2 linked regions of the Mus musculus genome follow. The protein of the gene in region 2 purifies or fractionates together with the protein of the main gene of each other region. This does not show direct contact. Links are inferred from orthologs where the notes say so. Each region holds a gene or a part of one and is shown on either strand. Other genes may lie near its edges.

What was found. The genes of interacting proteins can lie anywhere in the genome.
Region 1: the proteins of Coprs (region 2) and Hnrnph1 purify together in Homo sapiens (co-immunoprecipitation; 3 studies listed by BioGRID and IntAct, with this or other methods). This does not show direct contact. The link is inferred for Mus musculus from reciprocal best matches to the Homo sapiens genes COPRS and HNRNPH1.

What each region holds. Positions count from the first base shown.
Region 1 is NC_000077.6:50,376,248-50,379,992, reverse strand, and holds the start of Hnrnph1 (heterogeneous nuclear ribonucleoprotein H), read right to left. Parts: upstream 2,316-3,745; 5' UTR 2,191-2,315; exon of another isoform or gene 2,135-2,190; intron 1,758-2,134; exon of another isoform or gene 1,703-1,757; 5' UTR 1,663-1,702; coding exon 1,566-1,662; intron 526-1,565; coding exon 370-525; intron 173-369; coding exon 29-172; intron 1-28. UniProt on the Homo sapiens protein: This protein is a component of the heterogeneous nuclear ribonucleoprotein (hnRNP) complexes which provide the substrate for the processing events that pre-mRNAs undergo before becoming functional, translatable mRNAs in the cytoplasm.
Region 2 is NC_000074.6:13,887,552-13,891,296, forward strand, and holds the start of Coprs (coordinator of PRMT5 and differentiation stimulator), read right to left. Parts: upstream 2,721-3,745; 5' UTR 2,685-2,720; coding exon 2,616-2,684; intron 276-2,615; coding exon 209-275; intron 1-208. UniProt on the Homo sapiens protein: Histone-binding protein required for histone H4 methyltransferase activity of PRMT5.

The DNA.
Region 1 (3,745 bases), on a different chromosome or scaffold from region 2:
CTGCTCAGCAACAAACAGGACTACATACCTGAGAAGAACTGAACAATTTCTTCCTTGCTACATCCAAAAGGGAGTCCTCTAAGCCGTACAAAGCCATCATTGGCTGTGTCAGGACTATTTGGACCAGTATGCTTCAACACCCAATCCATTTCAACGTTGTTTGACTTGAATACTGAAAGAGGTGCTTAGAATTAGTCAATTAAGTTGGAGAACAAAGTTCAGATTTCCTGGGCTTTTAGATAACTAGGAAGAGCTGCCATAAACTCCCTTAGATGACCATTTCCATGCGGTCAAATACCTAAAATTCAGAAGGGGTAAGACCTCTATGTGTTTAAACGTTTACTGTTACTAGGGCAATGTAAATCAAACCTTCAACATATCTGTGTCCCATAGTTTCTCTGTCTTTTTTCAAGGCCAATTTGACTTCATCTTCTGATTCAAGTTCAACAAAAGCCTCGCCACTTGGTCTGCCTTCTCTGGTGTAGATGAAACGAATACCTTGAGCCCCATTTTGAATTTTGCAGTCTGAAAAGAAAACAACGCTTAATACAGGATTTAAAACCACTACAGATAAAATGCATATTCCTGTCATCACACACACCAAAAAAAAAAAAACATGCCTAAAAAGACTGACCAAGCAGAACACGATCAAATTATCTCATATACAGGATATATTCCTAGTCCAACAAGGTAACTCAATGCTCAAAAATAGTTCAAATGGAGCAGGGCAGTGGTGACGCACGCGTTTAATCCCAGCACTGGGGAGGCAGAGGCAGGCGGATTTCTGATTTCGAGGCCAGCCTGGTCTACAGAGTTCCAGGACAGCCAGAGCTACACAGAGAAACCCTGTCTCGAAAAAAAAAAAAAAAAAAGTTCAAATGAAGCTACCACCTTGCCTCTAAGTTTCCATTAACCATCTCTTGGTACACTATCTCAGAATAATCTCATCTGGATCTGGTGACTTCACAGCATTTTCTTGTTTGGGTACCATGTCAGCTTCCCTCTATCAGCAACCACATAACAATTTCATTCAAATCCAAACTCCAGCTCAATATTCATCCGAAAAGGGACCAATGTTAACAACTAAAGGCTCCAAGCTGCAGTTCAACTCAAACCCGGACGGCAACGGCCCCCTGCAATTGCTTGCAGTATACTTGGGGCTCGATTTACAGATCGTTTTCTGTTACCACAGCTAAATTCAGATGGTAAGGTCAACACTACAAGTACCTTTTTACAAAACCTTACACGACTTGAGAAGAAATCACATCTTTCCCTACTTAAATTTTTCTTAGACTACTCCAGAATGCACAGATTGATGCATAGAGACAGAAAAAGTTTTAAAAGAAAACAAATTCAGCAGGGCCACCAGCATCCCCAAGGGGGTTGGGGGGGGTGCGGATTTCGCAATTACCATTGCGTAACAGCGGCCAACAGAGCGCGAGCCGCCTGGGGAAACCGCTGGTGGCCGCGACTCGCTAGGGGGCGCCCGGGAGACCCGCCCCGCCCCAACCCGGCCCGGCCCGGCCCAGCCGCGGGCCCCACTGACAACTCCCGCCTCAACTCACCAGAAAAAAAGCGCTGCACTTCATCCGCGGAGCAGGACCAGGGCAAGCCCCGGACCTTCACCACGAAGCCCTCTCCGCCTTCTGCTCCCAGCATCATCGTCCCTTCGGTGGTCCTGGCGTCCACACAGATTGCGGGGCTGCGGGGTGGGGGTGGGGGTCAGGAACGCGTCTGAGAAAACAGGCATTTAAATGGCCCTCCCACTTCACGGCGCACAGCGGGCACCGGGCGCCGCCATGCGAGTCCCGCCCGTCAGGATGCCTGGGCCCCGGAGACTCAAGCATGCAACCCGGCCTCGGCTAGCGACCCGATGCCCAAAGCCGCCCAGTGCGCCCAGGGCCGAGGCGCCAAGCTAATAAGACCCTGGCCCACAGCCACGGTTGAGACGAGGAAATGGCGGCCGCCGCTTCCGCTCCGCCTCCTCAGACATCTCACACAATAGAAAGCGGCGCGGCCTGCAGGCCTAGGCGGCGCTGCCACGCCGGCGAGACACTCGCGGCTCCCAGGGGCAGCCTGCGCCTGCCACGGCCCCTCAGGTTAGAACCTAAGCTCAGCGACAAGCAATCGTCACCCAAAGAGGTGTCCGTGGAGAGCTCGGGCAGCAGTCGAAGACGGAAAGTCACTCACCTCCACAAAAAGCCTCGGCGTGGCTGAGGAGAAATGATAAGCGGGCGCCTGCGCAGGCTAAATAAAGCCCTTCCAGCAAGCTCTGCGCACGCGCACCCTGTTGCCGGCCCCGCCCCACTTGCGTCACAGAGAGATTGGACGCATGCGTATTAAGAAACCCCGAGCTCTCTCCCGCCGTCCTATTATTACACGCATGCGTTTGGGCTCAGCCCTCTTCATAAACTGACCGAGGTGTTTTTGGTTGTTTTTTTTTTTTCTTTCTGCGCCTGCGCCTTTTTGCAATTATTGCGCTTGGCGTCTCAGCGGTTTCTTGTTTTACTTAATGCGCATGCGGCTACCTTCAAACCGTTCTCTAGACCTACCCGCCGGAGTGGGGGAGGGGAATGGCGCTAATCAGCTCCCCGCAGGGACTGGGTAGTAATCCAGAGTTCGTTCAGGTTTGCAGGGGCGGTAGTTCTACCCTTAATCCGCAGCTTTTCATCCGCGCTCCTGTCGGTTTTGAAAGACACCACGAAGAAAAGGAAGCCATGCCCTTTCTCCTCAGAACGCGTAGGAGCTGGAGGGCCGGGTTGTGCCAAACCTCCTCTGGGTACCGCCCCGCCCCCTGCGCCCAAATCCCCGATCTCCGTGGGGCGCCTGGGACCAGTCCCCTTACCTGCCCGCTTTAGGGGGTCAGTCCCGACCCACATGGGCTGCCAGTGCCCGAGCTAGTCCTGTACCCCACTTTGCCTAACGGACTCGCACTCTACGAACCCCTCGCCCTTGCACGAGAGGCGCTCGGTGTGCGGCGCCTCGCGAGGGAAGGCTGAGACTGCCAGGGGCGCGAAGGACGCAGCCCCAGAGCGCTGCGCCCGACCGACCAACGGGCCTCTCCCAAGGTGGAGACACGCCCGGGTCATCCCGTGTGCCCTTACAGAGGTAAATGGGTGACGTTTAAGAGAATTCCTGCAACATAGCAGAATACGGATGATGTCCCGAGTTTCTCCGAATCTGACTGACCTACCCTAGAAATTAACAATAAGAGTTATTGTTTGGGCGGTGCCACGGTAGGTACCACAATTGGTAAGCCTCTGAAAGCCATCACAAGAGGTTACAGGCAAAAATACGCTTTTCTTTCAAGTGCAACATTGAGGAGGCTAAATCCAGTTTGAACAGTTTGTTTTTTAAAAGGGGGGGGTGTCATCAAAGGAAAGGTGCAGAGACTGCGTGCAGAACTCAGACCTTTTAAGTCTGCGCAAGGGTGTTAAGTAGAAGGGCATCACAAGACTTCAAGAGAGCAACAGGAGCTGTGTAACGTGAACCTTCAGGTGTAAGGGAAACTCGGATGAGACAGGCTGGGAGAATAACTGCACATGACCTCACCTGCAAAGGATCTATCTAGAGGAGACAGAAAACACTAGTTTAGATCATCGAAAAGTGAGAACTCCCAAGTCTCCAGGCCAGGAGGTGGGTGAAAGGCAAGAACACAAGCCCAGCCGAGGAGAACTGCAACTTCAAGACTTGCCTGAGCAACAGAGTGCGTTCAAGGCAGCCTGGGAAATTTACTGAAAGCCTG
Region 2 (3,745 bases):
CCAGTGAAATGGGGTGGTTTGGGTCCACGGTCATCCAGTACCTCCTCGAAGCTTCTAAACCAAGAGTCCCGCTGAGACAGTGGGCAAAGAAGGTAACTCAGTGGCTAAGTGGGTCAGCTAGCAAGAGAAGATAGACAAGACAGCGGGACTGTGCTGTCTCCATCTCTTCCAATGGCCACCCCAGCCCCAGTCTCTGCCGTCTACTTGCCTAGTCGATCCACGGCCAGCTCAGTCTCCGTCTCCCGACCAGAGAGGTCAGCTGTGGCAAAGCCAGCCTGTGGAAGAAGAAATAATTACCAGGAACTTGGGTAGTAGGACATGTCACTGCTTTGAAGCTCCAAACCCGCCCACCCATAATGCCCTGCACGATGTAGAGTTTGCACACCCTTCTGAGGACCTGGCAAGGCCTCAGAACAGGGCCTGTAGGCTACAGGCATCACCCAGGAACACTTCTCCGTTCTGACCGCTGGGAGTGCCCTTTTGCGGTGCCCAATGGACAGCTGTCACAGCTGTCAGTTTTGCTCTCAGCCCCAGGCCCTCTTCAGAAGTCTGGGCAGCAGGACTTCTCCAAGCTCAGAGACCCTAGAGCCAGATGGGACAGCTCCCTGGTCTCGGCTTGTAACCTCAAGTCTGTGTGTAAACTCTTTCCTCTAAGTCCAAAAACACTTTAACTGCTCTAACTTCTCTTTTTTCCTGGCCAGGATTGATAGTTGTCTCCTGAACCTGCAACTTCTCTGCACACCTTTGCCCTTCTCAGGTCTTTATGTCTAACAACTCCTTCCAACACAGCCATTCCACAGCGGTCCACGGGAGAAGCAGCCTGAGTTCTACACACTGGAAAGAATACCTAACCCCGCCCCCCCCCCAATGCCAACCAGGTAATTTTGCGGCCTGTTGCCTCAAAGTTCCCCAAACTTTACTCCCCCCAAGGTCTCTCTGCAGTGGAAACAGTAATGTCCAGGGCTTGGATGATCAGGCTGATGTCAGTTGTTGCCCCACCATGCACGTAGGCTGTGACCTTTAGATACTGGAATGGCTGTTCTGATCTGGCAGGGGTCGTATGATGGAGGATATTTATAAAACATCTAACATATGTTGGAGACGTAGCTCAGTTGGTCAAGTGTCTGCCTAGTGTACACAAAGCTACACACTGATTTTTCCAACACTACATAAAACCAGGCATGGTGGGCCACTCTGTAATCTGAGCATTTAGGAGATAGGTGCAGGAGGATCAGAAGTCCTGGCCACAGAGTGAGCCCAGCTCCTGGGCTACATGAGACCCTGTCTCAAAAATATTACAATAAAGCCAACAATAATAACAAAACCACCTGTTAGACTGCAAGAAGTAACACTTCTTTGACTTAAATTGCAATATTTATTTTATTTGTGTATATTTGTGTGTGTGTGAATATACCAGGAGGATCCCCTGGAGAGGGAGTTGCAGAGGGCTGAGACATCTGTTGTGGGTGCTAAGAGCCAAGCCAAACTCTGTAAGACCACCATGGCTGTCTTTCCAGCCTTCATCCTGCATGTAAATAAACTGTACTTAGCACTCACCCTAATTACCGTTCATTATCTAGTCACCCCTGAGCTTTAATGACTCTATCTCCTGTAGTCCGTGATAACCACAGACCACTGCTGCCCCCTATGGTGCTGGACCTCTTACTTGAACCTCACGCCTATCTCCCTACTCCTGCTCACCCTTCCACTTAAAAGCTTCGCGAGCCCTCCACTGCCATCACAGACCAGCAATGCCATTCATATTGACTCTCACGTTCCTTTCTGTAAGAAGCCTGCTCTCCGACCCAAGCTCCAAGGCCATTTGCCTTGCCCTTTCTCATATCCAGACCTTTGCTGGGCCTACCCTCTCACCCAAGAACATCCTTTCCAGATCCGCCCTAACAACATCACTCTCCTATTTTGCAAAAGTGATTTTCTTTGCAAATCTATTGGTACTTGAATAGCAGCTTCAAGTACCATCACTGAGGCTCTGGTAAGCGTTCTATTCATTCATCCAATTAGGATACACCAGGCATAGGTGCGGCTTCTGGGAAACAGGATGTCTACAGTCAAGAAGCTCGCAGTAGGTGGATGCAATACGGGCAGGTCATGGGGAAAGGCTGTATGGCGCGCACTTAAAAACAAGTTTCTGAAAACCCGTGTCACAAGGGGACCATTCGTTTCATCAAATGGGAAAAAGCACGGGTGACATCTGGCGTCCAAGGTCAGCTACACATCCCCACCAATGGCCAGAGGTCCTCAAGGTGAGAAAAAAAAAATCCGTTTCCTCGCAGCTCCCACCTGACCCAGCCCCCTGCGGCTGGAGCGGGCTCAGGGCAGCCGGCTCCGGGAAGCCAGCTCCGCGTTCCCTGCATTCACTCCCGCAGATGCTCCCCAGCAGCCCCAGTGTCCCTCTCCCTTCAGCGCCAGCCACAGCCTAGGGCTCGGGTCCGCGCGCGTTCCCGCGCCCACTGCCGTTACCGGCCAGGCTCTCTGCGTGCACTCGCGCGGCCCCGGCGTTTCCCGGGTGAGCGGCCTCCCGGCAGCGCGTGAACCCCGCGGTTTCCCGCCTGGGTGGTCGCGGATGCCCGCGTCCCCCACCCCGTCGCGCTCACCTCCGCGCTGGGGGCCTCCTGCGAACTCCGCTCGCCCGGGCCCCGACCGGTGGCTGCCTGAGGGTCCATGCCCGGCCGCCCACAGCCAGGCGCCTGGGACGCTCCGGCACGTGACGGCCGACGGGCTGCGGACAAGCCAATCGGCGTGGGGCGGCGCGGCGACCGAGGGGGCGGGGCGGCGCAGGGGCAGCGCCGGACGGCACGCCCACCTGCGTTGTTGTGCGGGACCGCAGGCTCTACAGCTCTTTCTGACCTCTAGTGCTGGTTTCGAGCCTTAGGCCTGATTGGGCACTGAGCCATCCCAGCCACACGGGGCTTTCCTACTGCATTGTGAAATGACACATAGAGCCCACCCGGGTGTCACACAGTCACAGCCGATGGGCTCCATCACTTTTCTCTCTACCCAATCACAGGGTTTTCCAGATTGCAGGCTGCACCCGCACTACAGCATCCCTTAATGAGGGACTTCAGCAACCTGAAATGATCTGAAATGATAACCCAGCAGCCTGGAGACATGCTGCTTTGATTTAATGATCGTCTTTAAAGTCAATCTGCAAGGAACCAGGATAAAGGAGCAAAACAACGTGCCACCACAAAAACAAGGTGGTGTTAGGAACTTAGAGTCAAAAGCCAGTGCTCCAAGTCAGTAATGTGACTTTGTTGAATAATTCTCCGTTTTCCGTTTCTCTTAGGAGTGTCAGAGGCTACAGCTAAAAAGTTTTGCCCACATGACTACTGGAACAGGAGCTGGACAAAGATGATACCAGTAGACATGCTAATTGGCTCACAAAGCCTCAACCCTACACACAGAACTATAGGCAACTAAGGATTGCTGAGAGTGGGAGAGATAGCCTTCCCCAAGGAAGAGTACCGTTGGTTATCCAGTACCCAGTGGTTGGTTATCCAGTATTCAGTGGTTGGTTATTCAGTACCCAATGGTCTGCCCTGGAAGCCCTACACATGCAAGTAACATTGTATAGACTGAGCAGATTGTATTTAGGTACATTCACATACACACACACACACACACACACACACACACACACACACATGCACACATACACATTCACACATTCACACATACACATTCACAGATACACACATTTGTCACACATATACACATACAAATG